Linked DNA regions of Diceros bicornis minor. The protein of the gene in region 2 interacts with the protein of the main gene of each other region in a pairwise test. Links are inferred from orthologs where the notes say so. Each region holds a gene or a part of one and is shown on either strand. Other genes may lie near its edges.

Region 1 (10,749 bases), on a different chromosome or scaffold from region 2:
GCCCTCTGTATACTTCGTGGTGCTTCCTATTTTTCTTCCCATCTTCCCTTCATCCCTGAGGCCACCATGTGCATTTGCTGGTTTCTTTCCTATTAATGTTTTTAAATTTTATTATGCATAGTATATACATACATGTACATATACATACACACATATACATGTGGCATTGTTTTATAAGTTTTAAAACATAAAAGGTATATTGTAGGGTTTTTTGGGAACTTGTTCTTTTTACTCAATGTGCTTTTGAAAATGATGCATGCTGATATATTTATTTTTTTCAAGTTTAACTTTTGAATAATATTTCATTGTATGTGCATGCTACATTTTACTTTTTAAATACCCTATTGATGGGCATTCTGATTGTTTCCATTTCACACTATTATAAATAATACTCGATTATCCCTGTACATGTCCCTTGGTGTACATACATGAGAATTCTTCCTGGTTATGTAAGTAAAAGTAGAAATGCTGGGTCTTAGGATATATGCATTTTTAAATTTTAACAAGTGTTGCCAATAGCTTTCCACTGTGGAAAAGGCACTCCCATCAGCACTGAATGAGAGTTCTATTTTCTCCACATCCATACCAACACAGCATTATCAGACTTTTTCATGTCTGACCATCTGATGAGTGTTAAATTTGTACTTTTTGGATTAATAATAAAGGCTATCGAGCTGTTAAATGATATATCAGAAAAAATTTGATAGGTGGGAAAATTCTTATGTTAGGTGAGAAAGCTTAGGCATAAAATTGTATATTTAGAAACTCAATCATGTGAAAAAATTTTTTAAGAAAATCTACAGTTATCTCAAAATAAAATGTTTAATTTTTAAAAAAAGGCAATAAACTGAAATGTAACAGTGATTATCACTGGGTGGTATAATGTTGATGCTTTTTATGTTTTCTTTATTTTCCAAGAACATTTTTTTTAATGAGTATAGGTTATTTTTATAAACTGGAAAATAAAATGGCTGGGTTGAACTAAAATTGAAGAGTTAATGTTTTAAAGAACCCATAGGATTTTTACACAAAATAAGAAGACAGAACTACTAAGCCTTCAAAATTAAAATGTTCAACTTCACTTTCCAAGAAACTAGTCTCTTTATACAACAAACTATTTAAATGGGAAGAGTTTTTAAATTTTTTACATTAAGCATATTAAGACTGCCTATGGACAAAAAAAATAAAGAAATAAAACGTGGTGGTAACTTTATCAATCAGAGATAATCACCATTAACTTTAAAAACGGATCTAAAAAGAATTTTTTCAACCTGCTTTGTACACTTCATAACATATTATAAACATCTCTTGAATGCAATATTTTTTTATATCACTTTTAATGGTTACAAAGAATTCCATTGTAAAGATGAACTACTTTTACTTCCCCAAACTCTATCTTTGGATGAGAGTTTATCAAATCTAATTTGAATAACTAGATTGTTTCCAAGCTTTTTTTTTCCTACCATAAACAATACTGGATGCTCACTGTAAAATCTTTATGAACATCCATGATTACTTCCTTGGGATACATTCTTGTAAGTCATATTTCTGGGTCAAGGAATGTGTATGTTTTAAAGCGTCTATTGCCTGTTGCCAGATTACCTTCCAATTTACACTCCTACCAACAGGGTATCAGTTATCCTTTTCTCCACGTTCCTGTCAACATCTGGAACATTCTTACCAACATGTTTTCTGTGGTAGTCAGTTTTATAGATGGAAAGGTTATCTCACTATTTTAATTTGTATTTTTATGATCACTAGTAAGATTCATCTTTTTTTCCCAAAGTTTTCAGTAATTTGCATTCTTTTATTTGCCAATTTTCTTTGTTTTATAAGTAGCTATTTTTTTCTAGTAATGTATAATCTTTGTAGAAAACTTCAGAAACAGAGAAAAGGTTAGAGCTCTTTTCTAAATTCCCCTCTTTCCTTCCCCCTAAGATAATCACTGGTATAGGCTGGTGTATATCCTCCTGGACTTTTAAATATAAGTGTATATATGCAATTAAATGTCATTTATCCCTAAGTAGCTTTCACTTTTTTATTGCTATTGAGAAAGTAATTATATTTTTGAACTTTGTGTATGAAAGAAAATGATTTTTAATTTCTGTATTTTAAAAAAATAACTTTATCCTCTTGGTTTTTAAAAAATAGTTATATCATCTACAAATAATAACTGTCTTTCCTTGCAGACAGGTATACTTCTAATTTTTCATGTGTTAGTGTAACAGCTACAACTTCTAGAACAATGTTAAACAAAAGTGGCATAGGACAATATGGGAATGCCTTGTACTGTCAAATATGGTGTTGGCTATTCACTTGAGACAGATTTTTAACAATCATGTCAAGAAAATATTGTTCCTAGTTTAGTAAGAATATTTTCAAAAATCAAGAGTTGATGTTGAAAGGATTTGGCTTTTAAAATACATTAATGGTTAAAAAAACAAATATGACAGCATATGTACTTACGATAAAAGATGTTCATCAGGAACTGTAAAACAGGAAATGGAAAGAAAGTTAATCATGTTAAACCAGTGACCACAGACATAAAAATCTTAAAAAGACTATAACTAAAAAGACTTTTGTGTAAGATGGTGAATTGAGCCTGTGCACCTAATTTTACTCCTTCCCAATATTCCACTAAACAACAGTAGAGGGATTTGTTTTAAAAAGCCTAAACTCCCAAGGATGAGAAAGACAGGGAGACACAACAGCTAAGATACACTGGAAAATAATTTACAAGACCTGAGAAAATTGAATCCTAAGCCAGCAATGGTGAGAGCTAAGCAACAACCTGATTACATTCCAGAATCCACTCTCCCACCCAAAAAAAAAAAAAAAAAATCCCTCAGCAACTGGTGGCACCAGATAGCTCTGGAGCAAGGGATGAAGCAGGGGGGCTAAAATAAGAAAGACTCTTTTAAAATAAGTTTAAGAAGCTAGAAGGTACTGGAATAATGCTTTCAGATGGCTGAAGAAGTATTATTTCCAACACATGATTCAAAACCTAGCCAAACTATCAATTAAGTGTGAGAACAGAAAAAGAACTTTTCCAAACATGTAAAGCCTCTAAAAGTACATCTCATGTCCTCTTCTTCAGGAAGGTTCTAGAGTATGAGCTCTATAAAATAAGATAGTAAACTCATAAAAAGAAAATTGTAGGATATACTCAACATAAGGCTCAACATAGGCAAAGGAAATTCCCAGGATAATAATGGTGAAGAGATCTCAGGAGATAGCGGGGAGAGCAGCTGGTCCATCATCAGAGTAACTCAGAAGGCTCTAGGAGAGACTTCTACAGGAAAACGAAATTGATGAAACATTCACTTGAACATCTTGAGTAGGGATCTACAACACTGGTAAAGAGTTTGAGGTTGAATTACGGATAAATATGTAGAAAACTAAACAAGCAAACACACACAACCACGACAGTTATTAATTCCAGGGAAAACAAAAAGTTATGCAGGAAAGGAAAAGTGAATCATAGCTTCCTACATGGCTCAGCTGTAACTAGACTTTACCTCCTCATACAAGTGTAAACTCAGGATCTTGATCTAAAAAAACTACCATCGACGGATGGGGGTCAGGAACAGTGTATCACTATCTACAACCAAGACTTTAAAATAGCAGAAAGCGGTTCTGCTGAAAATAAACATCAATCAACGGCAGCAGTCCCTCGGTCTGAGCCACGAGCACCAGCGGCACCCCTCAAGGCTGTCACGGTGTACGGATTAATCCACTCGGACAGGGCCCGCTTCTGTCAATCACTGTGGGAGCCACATCAGACTGGCTTTCCCCCAGCCTCGCTGGGGTCAGAACGTGTTTGAACACCTGGCTGGCCTAATCTTCCAAGCACGTATACTGTGTTAGTTTGAACTGGAACGAAAAAACAAGTTGGCTTACTCTTCTCAATCCTCTGAAAACACTAAAAGTCAAGATAAACCCTTTCAAAGTGCAGTCGTTTCAACACAAGAGCCATCCACGCGAATAAGCAGTGGCCGTATTGAGGCCTAATCTGCTATTTGTTAAACGGCCACTTTTACACCGGTGGGTAGTTCTAAGCAGTCGGTGCATTTTGATTACACGTATCCTCTTGATACTAGTACGCTGCGAACACATCTTGAGACCAGCTCGGTGCTTCTGGTGAGCGCGGTCTCACAGCATCCTCTGCTGGTCGGAGGAAAGAAAAGGTACTTTCACAGTATCCAGATTTACTCGTCACTGCGTATGCATTTTGGGTTTCTGGCCCTAAAATATTTACTTGCTGAACAAGGCGTATGAGAGAATTAATTTTAAAGTTAACATAAGATCCTGAGGGAAAACGCCTGCAGGCAACTTGAACAATTCAGAACTTCACCTCTCTGTAAGTCCGCGTGGGCTCCGGGCCCTCCGCGCTCCGGCCCGGGGCCCCTTCACACGCGTCCTCTGGCCGCGCTCGGCACCTCCGTCCCGGGCTCCCCACTGGCCTGCTCTCTCCCTGAGGAGGGGCCGCAGGAGGAACCGCGCTGTGCCCTCAACACTTCCACCTTTTCTTATCCTTTGTTTTTTTTGTTTTACGACTAGGAGGTCTGGCCACTGAACCACACCACAAAAGAGCACGGAGGGGCCAGGGCTAGAGCGCGGGGCCGGGGCCCCAACCCAGCGCCCGCAGGCCGAAACCCCGGCCTCTCGCCCCCCGCCCGGCGGGGCGAGTCCGCGGCCCACGACGCAGCTACACACGCCCTCAGGCCCGTACTTCGCGCGCTCTCCCGCACTGCCGCGGCCATCTCGCTTAGAAGTTCCTCCACCACAGCCGGCAACGTGACCGCCGGCAAGGCAACAGCCATGGCGCTTACAGGCGGCGGCCTCCTCAGGAGGACTAGCCGGCGCGACGCTGCGACAGACGCGCGGGGAATTGCCGCCGCCAGCCGGGGCGGGGCGAGGCGCGGTGACGTCACGTGCGTTATCGCGCAAGCGGGCGGTGACGATGACGCCTCCTACCAATCCGGCGGGAGCTGGGCGCCGGGGTCGGGACGTCCCGCGCTCCGGCCGGGCCTGCAGTGCGCAGAGGACGCGGCGTGAGCATGTACCGACTGCTGACCCAGAGCCTAGGCCGAGGTCTCCTGCGGACCGCTGGGCGGCGGTGCCGGGGCTGGCCGGCGCGCCCGCTCCTGGGGCCGGCAGGAGGCCGGCTGCCCGAGGTGGAGGTGCCGGCCTCCCGAGTCGCGCCGCCCGGCCGGGGTCCGGGCCTGCTGCCGCTGCTGGCAGGTGAGAGGCGCGGGCGGGGCGGGGCCGTCTGGGCCGGGGTCGGGGCGCGGGCCGGGCCCGGTGACCTCAGAGCGCCTTCCCGCAGCCCTCTCCTGGTTCTCGAGGCCCGCTGCGGAGGAGGAGGAGGAGCGGCGGGGAGCGGGCGGGGCCGCCGCCGGGGACGCGGCGGACGAGGCCGAGGCCGAGATCATCCAGCTGCTGAAGCGAGCCAAGGTGAGGCGGCCCGGGTGCGCGAGCCTGGAGGCCTTGTCGATGCGCATTCCTCTCTCGTTTACCCAGGACTCGGTGGAGGCTCCGAGGGTAGACTACCCGGAATTAGATGGGTCATGGGGGCGGGGGTTAGGATCCACCTAGGCTCGTCAGACTCTAAAGCCTGCAGTGAAACCGCTGCAGTCTCGGCTGGAAATGGAGATGGCACCACAGGCATCGGCCTTTTATCCAAACAAAATTTGCAGAAGTGTTTTGTAGTTGTTTTTATCAGTGAACCTGCCAAGCTGAAAGGACTGGCATAGAGAATTTTGCACGTATGTAGCGTCCTGAAAATGCAGTTTAGTGTTGGTTATGCGCGGTTTGGTTCTGTCTTTTTAAACTCTTCCTTTTGTCCACAATCATTTCTATTTTTTCTTCTCCTCCCCAGGTTATCGCATCTCTTCCATTGTACTAACAACCGCCTCCAGGCCAGCCAACAACGTCCAAATTATATATTCCCATACTGCAGTGTGCTCCTGCCATGCCGTCCCCACTTTGAGGTCCCTCCTACCTCTCGGACTTAACCTGTCCGAAGCTAAACTCTTGATCTTAAATGCCTCCCCGACACATTCCTTCACCATCTTCTCTTTACTACTGTCTACCCAGTTTTTCAGCCTGGAAACCTCACAGTCATTCTTAAAACTTGTGGTACCTTACCATCGCCTCCCAGTTCACTTACAGTCCAGCAACAAATCCTGTTGCCACCAAATCCAAGATATTTCTCAAGTCTGCCCCCTTTTCTGTCTCTCCTGCTGTCACTCTACTGTTGCTGCAGCCCACTATCTAGTAGTCTTGTCTGCTCTGTTGCTCCGCCCTTACAATTCATTCTCCATGCAGCAGCTAGAGTGATTTTTTTAAAATGTAAGTCAGACCATATCACCTCCTTGCCTAAAGATTTTGAATGACTTCCCTCTGCATTTATGGTAAAATCTAAACTCTTATGCCATGGCCTGCAGGACCCTACATGGTCTACACCACCCTGCCTTGCTTGCCCGTTTGGCAATAATCCTGTGGCTCACCATCCTCACTTCACATCTGTTTCCTTTCATTTCTTGAATGGTTCTTGAAGAACCATTCTCTTCAGCCTCTAGGGCCTTCACTCATTCCCTGCTCTCTGTTTGGGTCATTTTTCCCCATAATTCCTTATTTGGCTGACTCTCATCCTTCCTACTTCAGTTTAACTGTCACTCCCTTGGAAGGCTTTTCTGACTTCCGTTTAGAGGAGACCCCTTTTTGTTCCTTTCCATTGTTTTTCATTATAGCTCCTATCATTAGTTGTAATTAAGCTTACTTGTCCTACAGGGTCATTTCCATCTTGCAGGAAGAGAGAAAGAGGATGTAGGGCAAGCAGCTTCCTTATAAAATATGGTATAAAGATTGCTCATATTCCTGCTGCCTGCATCTGTTGGCCAGAACTTTGTCATATGGCCACACATAGCTGCAACAAAAGCTGACCACCTCTGTCACTATTATAGACATAATGCCTGGTGCATAGTAGGAATTCAGTAAATATTTGATGAATGAATGAATAGCTTCCTTGTATGTATTGGAGTGTATAGGCATATCCGATTCTGTCTGGTAGCACATGCATCTGCTTTCTTTACATTTCATTTCCTATTATTTTCTTTGTTTTTTCTTTTCAGTTGAGCATCATGAAAGATGAGCCAGAAGAGGCTGAGCTAATTTTGCATGACGCTCTTCGTCTTGCCTATCAGAGTGATAACAAGAAGGCCATCACTTACACTTATGATTTGGTAACTCTTCTAACCAATCTGAGTCCCTGATGATGAAAGATAGATGCAAGAGAAGAGTTTTTAGCTCTCCTGATTTATATTCCTGACCTTCAGGATGTCCTAAAACGCTTTGGTTTTTTGTTTTACTAAGTTTTCTTTTGGTTTCAATTTTTATTACCCTTGGGGTGTCACTTATAAGAAGTCTCAAACCCAGATCAAATTTGACAATATTTGTTTCTTCAGCAATGAGTGGATTTAGATTTGGTTTGTCATCAGCAGAGTGTATGTATATCCAGGTGTTTACTCTCACACTGTTGCTGAACTTTGCTGTTAGCAGATTAGTGACATACTTCTTTCTCTGAACTATTTTTTTATTTAGAGGGTAAAAGCAAAAAGGAATCTTTAGCTTGAAGATTTTGAAGTAAGTAGGAACACAGTGCTCTAAACTGAAAAACAATTTGTAATTTGCTTTCAGATGGCCAACTTAGCATATATACGGGGTCAGCTTGAAGATGTAAGTAAGTAAATTACTTCGTAATATTTTGAATAATATTGAATTTATGAAGGAGTAGCCTTAAGGGAACTTTATTAATAAGGCTATGGGCTAAGCTGCTGTAGCAAAGAGACTCCAAAATAGAGGGACTGAAACGAGAAGGAGGTATATTTCTCTTTAACGCGTTAGTCCAGAGGTAGCTAACACTGAAGAGGGATAGGTACCTCTGCTCCATGAAATGGTCCAGAAGCCCAGGTTCCTTCTAAGATATGTCCTCATCTACATAGGTGAGCTAGCTCACCTCCAGCCTGCAGGAAGGAAGAAAGAGAGGATGGAGGGCAAGAAGCTTTCTTATAAAATATGATTTAAAAATTGTTCACATTTTCTTCTGTCTTCATCTCTTGGCCAAAACTTCATCATACGACCACACCAAACTGCAAAGGATGCTGACCTATTAAAAATTGAGGAGATTCTGTAACTAAAAAGATGGAGAGGAGAGTGACTATTAGGGAATAGTTTGCAGTCTCTGCCACAGTGGGTTTGGATGAAAAGTTAATTTCTGAAGTTGGTTTCTACTCATCACAGAATAGTTTGTAAGGTGCCCAGAGGACGTGGGATCCTGGAATTTTATTCTTTTTTCCCATCACAAGGGCACTTTGTGTGTATATGAGTGTGTATATTGTGCTTTACAAGGAATGATGCATCAGACTAGTACTTAGAATCCAGAGTCATATAGATATTGGGGGCCAAGTGAAAAAAAAATCTTGGGCCGGCCCAGTGCCATAGCCATTAAGTTCGCATGTTCTGCTTCGGTGGCCTGGAGTTTGCCGGTTTGGATCCTGGGCACGGACCTACTCACTGCTCGTCAAGCCATGCTGAGGCGCTGTCCCACAGAGAAGAGCTACAGCTGTACAACTATGATACACAACTATGTGCTGGGGCTTTGGGGAGAAAAAAGAGAAATATGTTAACGCAGGGCCAATCTTCCTCAACAAAAAAAGTCTTTTCCTTATGCTTTTAGGCAGAAAAACTTTTTAAAGCAACAATGAGTTACCTGCTTGGAGGGGGCATGCAACAGGTAAGGACGTTGCCTAGGATTGGGCTGTAGCTGAAGCAGTTTTCACAATAATCTTGCTTCCTGAAAACTCCACCCAGTCCCCAACATGTGCTTTGGCCAAAAAAGGTGGATTTTTTTTCCCCCAGGACCTATATAAAAACTGCCAGTCTTTCACTCATGCAAAAGCATGGTAGCTGAGGAATTCAAAGTTGGCTAAATCTGGCTAAATCCTCCTAAAGGATAAAGACGTTCAGGCCAAAGTCAGTCTAGAAGTTGATCTGAAATATTCTTGAGGGAATTTTACTTGTCATGAATATCCTTCATTTTTCTTTCTCCCAACAGGAAGACAATGCAGTCATTGAAATCTCTCTAAAGCTGGCCAGTATCTATGCTGCTCAGAATAGGTAAGTATAGTCAGAATCTAGGTGTGGCAGCAGCGAGGGGGTAGGGCTGTGGGCAGAAATCTTTGCCTGTTGGATGTTTTATAATTTTCATTTACCTACTACTACTAATCATCTGGGTCTCCAAAAAATTGGATGTCACACTCAAGGTGTTCCCTCCCTCATCTCTGGAATCTTCATCTTTTCCAGTTTTGCCCCTGCTGTTTCCATTAGCCTGCTGAGTGGGGCAGAAAGCCCTCACACCTCTGGCTCACTGTGACAGAGCTAATTAAGTTTTCTGTTCCGTGTTGAAGTGGGGCGGGAAGTTATAGGCAGAACTTTAGTTTAGCTCTTCCTTGAAGAGGAGGGAACAATGTAGAGGCTGCTGGGGATAATATACTTTAAAGAAACCATTTTGCTGATATAAGTGTCAACAAACCAGGAAGTTAGGCATAAAGTTAAATGATGAGAGAGTTGCTGTGGGAGTGTCTCAGTGGCTAGTTGAGTGGGCAGTGTTTTTAAAGCATGTAGAGATGATCAGGTAGCTAGGTTTTTTGGAAGGGGAAATATCTAGGAGTAAAAGACCTTTGGGTAAGTAGGACAGGAAGTCGGTGCTAATTTAAAAGTATTAGATGAGTCTAAATTTGTGTAAAGAAGAAAACACCTGCCAGCTACACAGGAAAAGCTTTAGAAAACAATTTGGATGTGTGCCAAAGATCAGGAATACTGATGAGTGAGGCCTGGTGCCTTTCATTCTCTCTGGGTGGAGTTCAAAGGAGAAACAGGTAGGATGTAAGCAGAGAACTCCTCTAGAGATTTGTATTTTCAGATGATTTTTTTTTCTTTTGTGAGGAAGATCAGCCCTGAGCTAACATCTGATGCCAGTCCTCCTCTATTTTGCTGAGGAAGATTGGCCCTGGGCTAACATCTGTGCCCATCTTCCTCTACTTTATATGGGACGCCACCACAGCATGGCTTGACAAGTGGTGTGTCGGTGCACACGGGGGATCCGAACCTGCGAACCCTTGGGCTGCCGAAACGGAGCATGCGCACTTAACTGCTGTGCCACCGGGCCGGCCCCTTGGGTGAATTTAAGGGAAGACCTAAGAGTAGCTTTTCCTTAGGTTTTTAGTTACTGCAGAAGTTGGATACCAGAGGTTTTGAATGACATCAAGCCTAGTGCTCCAGAAAGAGTGCTCGTTGAGGCCAAGGGTCCTGGCACTGGTCTCTGCTCCCTTAGTCACCAGCTCCTTCATTCTTAGCAGGACCCACTTAGTCTCCCTGCATTTGGTTGGACACCAGATAAGCTAGAGCTTCTGAGGGCCTTGGACTTTAAGTCTTTCGAGGAGCTTTGAGGTTGGGCGTGTCAGGAGCATTGCAGCTGGGATCAGTCTCCCTTGGAGGAGTAACAAACAGGACTAGATGTTGATGTGGTATGAAATTCTAGGATAAGAAGCTCAAAGCTAATAACACTGGAGAGAAAGACATTCATGGTCTTATAGAGGTGAAAGCTTGTGTAATAGCCACTAATAATTAGCCTCTAAGTTACTCTATACTCTCCTCAAAAGTGTTTTTTCATTTTGTTTTATTAAG
Region 2 (7,673 bases):
CTTTGTATAGATATATATATGTAAGTTTTTCTATCATGACTTCTGCAAATGGCCTGTAAGCCCCATCTGTCCCTGGGCCCAGGCCATAGGGGCAGCAGTAAAAAGCCTTGAGCTCAGTCTGAAATTCTGGCCCTGGCAATCTGAATGATAATCCTAATAAAATGAATCAGTCAGTATAAGTTATACTAGCTGCCGTAACAAACAACTCCCAAATCTGCATGGCTTAACATTAAATGGTTTCTCTCTCACATCTCAGTTCAGGCAGGTGGGCAGCCATCCCTGGGATGAGTCAGAAGCCCAGACTCTTCTGGTCTGTGGCTTCACCATCCCTCAAGGCCACCCTCACATCTTTGGATGGATCCTCTGTATCCTTCCAGCCAACAAGCAAAGAGAGAGACAGCAGAAGATTCTGTGGGCCGTTTTAGGAATCTAGCCTAGAAGTGGGTACCATCTCTTCTTCATAAATCCCACTGGCCAAAAACAGTCATGTGACCCCCCCCCCCCAGCTAGTCCCACAAACTGCTGGGAAATGTAGTTTAGCTGTGCATCCAGAGGAATGCTGTTTCATGAACCTCTAGCTTGTCTCTGCCACTAATAATAATAACATTAATTCATAGGGCTTTATTCTGTGACAGGCCCTGTTCAAAGAAAGTACTCTGATGACACTAAGTGTCACCAAGTGGCTCCATGGGAGTTCTGGTTTAATCATTTTTTTAAAGTTTCATATAACCTAGGAAAGCTGAACATATGCATATCTTCTGCTCCAGGAATCCCACTTCTAGGTATATACCCTAAAAACTCTCACACACATGCACCAGGACATGTGTGCAAGAATGTTCAGAGCAGTAAATAAGTCAATCTGATGATTAAATTGGGGTATACTGGAACTATACCCAGTAGGGAAAAAGGAATGCACTAGAAAATGTGGCTGAGTCTTAGTAACGATGCTGAGTGGGAGAAAAGGAAGTCTCATAAGATTACATTTATCACGAAACTCTTTTTATAAAGTTCAAAATAGCAAAACGAAACAATATGTTGATTGAGCATAATATGTACACAGTAATGCTACTTTTAAAAGAGAAAAAGCACTTTACATTCTTTAGGTCTTGGAATCTGCACATTTCCCTGGGGGAAGTATTCCAGACACAGGAAACCAAGGCATAGAGAGGTTGTCACATACCAAAGCTCAAGGCTGCCCTCCAGAGCTTGAACCCTTGTCTGAGCTGGGGTCGCCAGCCTGGGTAGGCCACGGGGTGACTGTCATCTCTCCATCTGGTCGGAAAGTCACCCACCACTCTGCCCTGGGGCCCAGCCCACCTGGCTCCAGGCTGGCTCGGAGGCGGTGCTGTCCTGGGCCTGGTGCATCTGGCTGCAGCCAGCACTGGGCAGGGAAATACCGCTGGAGCAGTGACAGCTGCAGGGCGTCCCCAATGTCTCCCTCCTCCTGGGTCTGGAGGGTCACAATGAGCCCACAGCCACCACCAGGCCCAATTCGGTGGCTAAAGTGGGCAGCTGTGTCCAGAAGCAGGGCAGCCAGGTAGGCGGCTTCCTGGGGCCCCCGGTCTTCAGCTAGGTACTCCTCCAGGCCATCGAGCAGCAGGAGGGAGGGGGCTGGCCCCCGGGCCTCATGAGCAGAGCACAGGAGCTGGAGAAGCTCACGGGTCGAGGGTGGGTACTGGAGGCGGATCTTCTAGAGGGAGAAAAGAAGGAAAGGGCCAGATTCAGCACAGGAAGCCAGATTCCCAGCTATAGCAGCCCCGCTTCCTTGCATAATTTCCTGGACAAGGCGCTCACTGCCCGGACAGCTGGTACCAGAGTGAAGCAGTTCACAGTGATCCAATATTCTTTTGCCCTCTCCCCCTCTTATTATCCAGCACTCATCACTGCCTGGTATTAGCTGAAAACAGGTGTGTCTTTTTGCCAAATCTCTAGGGCAGTCTTTCCACGGAAAACCCACCCGTGGCGTCCCCAGTGTGACCCCACCATTGACTCAGTTCCACTGGTACCAACTCGTGTCCAGGCTAGACCTAAGCTTAGCCCCGCCCCTTGCTCGCCCCTGACTCCACCCTTTCGCTAACTCCGCTCCATCATTGGACGGCATTTCAGTCAATCTTAACTAAACTTCGCATGGTCCCCCCCCCCGGCTCGTTCCTGACTCCGCCCCAAAATGGCTGCTCCGGCTCGTCCTCCCTTCGTCCCCGCCATTGGTCTGTCTACCTGTCACTCAATCGTCGATCCGCCCCGCCACTGGCTGGCCCGCCTCTGATCCCGCCCTCGGTTACCTGCAGGCGCAGGTGGTCGAGCGCTGCCCCCGTCCCGCGAGGCAGGCTTTGCAGAGGCCTCCGGGTCAGGAAGAGGACGGGCCCTCGGCCCTCCCCTGCCGCCTCCAGGGCCGCCGCGAATAGCAGCGCTGTCTTTCCAGAGCCGGGACCGCCGAGCAGCAGCAAAGGCGGCCCAGCCTCGGCTGTGTTCTCCCCGGACCCGGCGGCGCTGCCCCGGCTTAGCACCCGCCTCAGCGTCTCCGCCATTCGGAATGTAACTCTGTCCAATCGGCGGCCGTTCCTGCCCTTAATCCCGCCCAAGACGAGGCATCATTGGTTACAGCGCATTTAGCGTCTCCACTGGTGCATGGATCTGTCCATCAACGGTAGATCGGCTTTTGCTAGCTCCTCCCCTGGTGAAGCGGCAAATCGCCTAGTCTGAGGGAGGAGGAATGCGGGCGTTTGAGGGAGAAAAGGCTCTTCCTTCCCTTAGGTGAGCTGCTGAGGGAAGCAGCACGAATACTATTATTTTGAACTAGTCAGCTAATCAGACAGATAAAAGGGTTGAGAGTTGGAGGGAGCAAGCCCTAATCGCTGACATATTATTTAAAGTCTCCTAGCCTCAGTTTGCTCACCTGTAAAATGGAGCTCCTGATGTCTCAGAGGAATATCGTGATGGGCATGTGTCTGTGTGTGTTTCCGCTGAGGTCACCCAGTGACAATGGAGAAGTGGAGGGATGGATGAGCTGTGTGCTCGTGTCTCTCTGCACCCGAGTACCCGCACAAGTGTGTGTCTGGGGCTGCAGGCTTGGCGACATTCGTGTGCAAAACAGCAGCAGCCATCTCTGAGGGGCTGTGAGGAGAGGGCTCTCAACTGTCTTCCTCATTGCCCTGGGGGTTCCTTGGGTCCTGCTCGGGGTACGGGGGAAGGCAAGACCATAGACCAAAGAAGGCACTGGGCAACACAGAGACAGGGCCGGGGAGACTGAGGGAGAGCCACGGCAGGGATCTTGTTTGTCTTGCTCATTTCGGTATCTCCGGCGCCCGGAACAGTGACTAGCTCATTGTAGATCCTCAACATGTGCTCATTAAGTAAATGAATGAAGAAAGGAAGGTGGGATTGATGAGAAACTGGGAGAGAAGGAGGAACAAGGTGAGCGATCGAGTGATCGCTGGCTGGGTCTCCTCACCCAGACTTCGCCCCAGAGCTGCCACTCACGCCCCTGTTGCCCTGGCAACTCTGTCTCTTGGTAACTTCAAAGTGGTGCCGTTGCCAGGAGACCCAGGGGCAAGGCGAACTGAGATTTCCTGGGCTTTCTCTCTCCCTCTGGGGCCAGAACACAGCTCCACAACATCCCCCAATCCACCCACTCACACAGCCGGCACCCCCACACCACTCTACACACACACACACACCACGGCATCTCTGTATATATTCTGCTTCCAGAATCCCATCACCCACATGCTCGCAGCCCTGTCCTACCCTGACACGAAGCATCCCATACACACTCTCTCCCACATTCATGCCCCACATCCCTTCCCTTGCACACACGCCAGAACACACTCTAATACAACCATACCATTGCCGCTACACACACATAGTCACGTTTCCTTTCAGCTGATGTGCCTACAGCTCTTTACACACACACACACGGTACACTGTTATACTGCCTTGTCAGACGCACCGCCTCAGCCCCCCCAAAAGATGCACAACCCCTCACTTTGCAACACCCCAAATGCACAAGCACTCAGTAAGGACACCCGTGTCACACAGTCCCGCACAGTCGCATACACGGGAGCATGCTGAACACAGCCCCACTGCACTCGCTGTTCCCTTGCTGAGAGCCCTCAGCTCGAAGATATCCCTGTGGCTCATTTTCCCATTCCATTCAGATCTCTGCTCGAATATCACCTACTCAGAGAGGCTCTCCCTGACCACATGTGTAAAATCGCACACCCTTCATTCTTTGTGTCTCCATTTTTATTTCTCTTCGAATAACTTAACCCTTCCAACGTTATGTATTTTTATTTGGGTTTTATTGCCTCTCTCCTGACTACAATGTCATATCCACCAGGATAGGGTCTCTGTTTTGTTCACTGCTGGGTCCCCAGTGCCTAGAACAGGGCCTGGCACACAGTAGGTGCTCATAAATGTAGGCTGAGTGGGTACACTGGCAGAGATGCAGGTGTTTGGCATATCTCTCATGCACACAGTGCTTCTTTCTCTCACTTCTCAGAATCCCATCTTCATATCCTGACAGTAGGACCCTTGCCATAGAGGGGCTTCCCGGAGGAGGAGGACTGAAGGATGAGGGGACCGGGAAGTGGACAGCTCAGGGCCAGTCTGTGCTTCTTCCTGGTTTATCAGCATCCTGAGTGATTAGTTCATTCATTTAGCAGACACTTATTGAGCACCTACTGTGTGCCAAATCAGTTTAAATAGTCTATGAGCAGATGATAAATGTATGCCAAAAAAAGTTTGCAGAGGGGAGGGAAGTCAGAAGGGCCAGTTTTGTTTTTTTTTTTGACATTTTGGATAGGGTGGCAGGGACAGGCCTCAGTGAGAAGGTGACATTTGAGAAAAGGCTTAAAGGAGGTGAGTGAACCATGCAGAAATGTGGGGGAAGAGCATTCCAGATGGAGACACTGGCAAGTGCAAAGGCCCTGAGGCATCGGGAGAACTTTGGTTTTTACTTAGAGTGCCATGGGGAGCCATGAGAGGGTTTGAGCAAAAGAGGATCATGGTCTGACTTACTTCCTAAACTGGAGCTCAGATTCGATCGAGTTGAGTTTAAGATGTGAGACCCCCACGGGGGCACGTTGATGAGGTTTTTGAATAAGCAAGTACACCTTAGTCTGGGTTCTCTACCTGACATTATCCATCCTGGGATGGGGGTGTGGGCAAGGCCAGGGCTGCTGTCGCCACCCTCTCTAGCCCCCACTTTACCCTTTCTTGGCCCCCGTTTAACATCAGAACCATGGACAGCGCCAGGTGGGCTGGCCAGGAGGCGCTGTCCGCCGTGCTGAAGTTTTGCTTCTTTCCTGGCCCGCGTGGAGGCAGCTGTACGACAGGGGGACCATGGGTCTCAGGGATGCGACCCCTGGAAATAGGAGCTCTGGTCGGTGAAGCGGATTCTCTCTTTCCTCTGCCTCCAGCCCTCTCATGCTCCCATCTCCTTCCCCGTGCCCCACATCAGCACCATCACCTCCCCCTCGCTCACTCCCCTCCAGCCACACGGGTGTCCTCACCTCCCGGACCACAGCAGGCACGTTCCCACCTCAGGGCCTTGGTGCTTGCTCTCCCCTCTGCCTGGAACGCTTCTCCCTCCACCCCTGATGTTTTCATGTCTCCTTCCCTCTCCACCTTCACACCTCATCTCCAGCGCCATCACTTCAGAGACAAGGACCCTGATCATCCTCTTTAAGTTGCAAACCGTGTCCCCATCCCATAGTTGCCCCATTGCCTTCTCTAGCTTGAATTTTCTCCTTACCACTTATCAATATTCAACATATCAGAGATCCCAATCCTTGACCTAAATCCTTGATCTTAGAGTTTGGAATTCAGACTTATTCAGATTTTCAAAAGGTACTGTCGTGTAAATACTATGTATTGCATAAGCCCCTAGTGGGTCCTAGGATAACATCCCCAAATCAAACGCTTTATCTGCAGCAAAACAAGAATATTCACATGTTAAATAAATAAGAGCTACACATAACCTCATATCAGCCTCACATAACCTCATGCACAAATGAGTTACAAAACAATTTTTGGTTGTCAGACCTTTTTAAGATTTAGGATTGTGGCTCTGTATAAAACTTATTTATCTTGTTTATTGTCTGTCTCTCACATGTTAGAATGCGAGCTCTGTGAGGGCAGGAATTTGTGTCTTAGCGCCTGTGCCTAGCGAAACAGCACCATACAGTAGGTGCTCTGCAGTGTTTGTTGAATGAACGAATGAGGGGGAAGGGAAGCAGACTCCCCTTTCCTGGTTCCTGGATGACTCTGTGCCCTGAATTGCCTGTCTGAAGCCCCGCAGAGCCGTGGGGGGCGGGGTCAGTGACTCCCTGCCCCTCCTGCCCTCCCTGGTCTCTGTTGGGCCCTCAACGGTTGGGACTCAGCACAAGCTCACAATCAGAACCCCTGCTCTCATCCCTGCAGCCAGGGGTTCAGCTAGAGGTTCCTAGTGCCCTCAGCATCCCCCTTTGCTATCAGGACCCTCAGGGTCCCGTCACCCTATGCCCTCTGCACCCTGGCTGTGGCCAGAAGCAGGCCAGCTGCCAGGGGAAGACAGTCACGTGAGGCCCATCACCGTGAGCCTCACGTGTGGCTTGTGGGGCCGTTCACATCGACAGATGAAGAAACAAGGGCACAGAGAGGTTAATTAACTTTCCTGAGGCCACACAACCAGGAAATGCTGAGCCAGGATTTAAACCCAAGTCGCTAGCCCCACGACTCCACACTGTCTCTCCACAATCGCCCTCGGACACACTGGGACAATACACCCCCACCCAGCCCCACAGACACCCAGACGCAGATTTAAGTCCTCCACATCTCGCCACCTGGGAGAGGAAGACAGGTGGCCACACTTCTGTTACAAACAGGTCTTTATTAAAGATAAGGAGAGGGCAGGAAAGGGGGGCAGTGTCTCCTCTGCCCACTGCCTTTGAGTGCCCAGGGAGGGGGAGCCCTCTCTGCTCCACCCATGCCCCCTATGATGGCACAGCTGCAGGAGGCTGAGGCATGGGGGGCAGTGTGAAGAAGAGGGGTGGGTTCCAAGAAAAAAAAAAGTCCTTTCCCACAGCCGTAATAAATAACAAAAGGGTTTGGGGTGACGTGGACACAGGCAAGAAGACACACAGCACCCTGAACCCCAAAACCTTTGAACTGGGGCAAGCCCTGCATAAGGAGGGAGTTAGGAGGGACTGGGGGAGAGGGTACATGTGGGGGAGGGGCTAGGGGGAACGGGTGCCCCGAGGTCCCCGCTGCGGGGGATCCTGCCCCCCACCCTCTGGCTGGACTCTCTGATACTGAGGAGAGAGCACCCGATGACAAAGGATGACCCCATCTCCCTCCTCTCCCTTGCACGTGCTTGGCCATGGGCGGTCCCCCATTGACTGGTATCATACCCACCCACCCTAGAAATTCTGAAAACCAAGGACTCCTATTCCATGTTCAGACGCTCAACACTGGCCGGAGTTGCCCTCTTGTCTAAGGATTCTAAGAAGTGAGAGGGAGGCTCCCATTGGCTGCTGGAAACTCCTTTTGGTTAGAATTCTGAGAACTGGGGGCTCCCATTGGCTGGGCAATGGCCACTGGGGTCAGGCTTAGGCCCTTAAAAGGGCAATCCTAGGGGCAAGGGCCCACCTCCCAGTTATGCCCACTTGGATGTCCCAGGGGGACAAGAGAGGCAG

Evidence for each region.
Region 1: the proteins of SWSAP1 (region 2) and ZSWIM7 interact in binary tests that used the Homo sapiens proteins (3 or more experiments, as listed by UniProt). The link is inferred for Diceros bicornis minor from reciprocal best matches to the Homo sapiens genes SWSAP1 and ZSWIM7.

The regions. Positions count from the first base shown.
Region 1 is NC_080757.1:2,751,244-2,761,992, reverse strand, and holds the start of ZSWIM7 (zinc finger SWIM domain-containing protein 7), read right to left. Parts: upstream 4,877-10,749; 5' UTR 4,824-4,876; coding exon 4,733-4,823; intron 4,165-4,732; exon of another isoform or gene 2,523-4,164; coding exon of another isoform or gene 2,489-2,522; coding exon 2,467-2,488; intron 1-2,466. Other genes in the region: TTC19 (tetratricopeptide repeat protein 19, mitochondrial), read left to right, coding at 5,061-5,244, 5,330-5,457, 7,137-7,247, 7,702-7,740, 8,741-8,797, 9,119-9,180. UniProt on the Homo sapiens protein: Involved in early stages of the homologous recombination repair (HRR) pathway of double-stranded DNA breaks arising during DNA replication or induced by DNA-damaging agents. Required for meiotic progression, hence for fertility.
Region 2 is NC_080769.1:8,098,997-8,106,669, forward strand, and holds SWSAP1 (ATPase SWSAP1), read right to left. Parts: upstream 2,529-7,673; coding exon 2,283-2,528; intron 1,691-2,282; coding exon 1,187-1,690; 3' UTR 539-1,186; downstream 1-538. UniProt on the Homo sapiens protein: ATPase which is preferentially stimulated by single-stranded DNA and is involved in homologous recombination repair (HRR). Has a DNA-binding activity which is independent of its ATPase activity.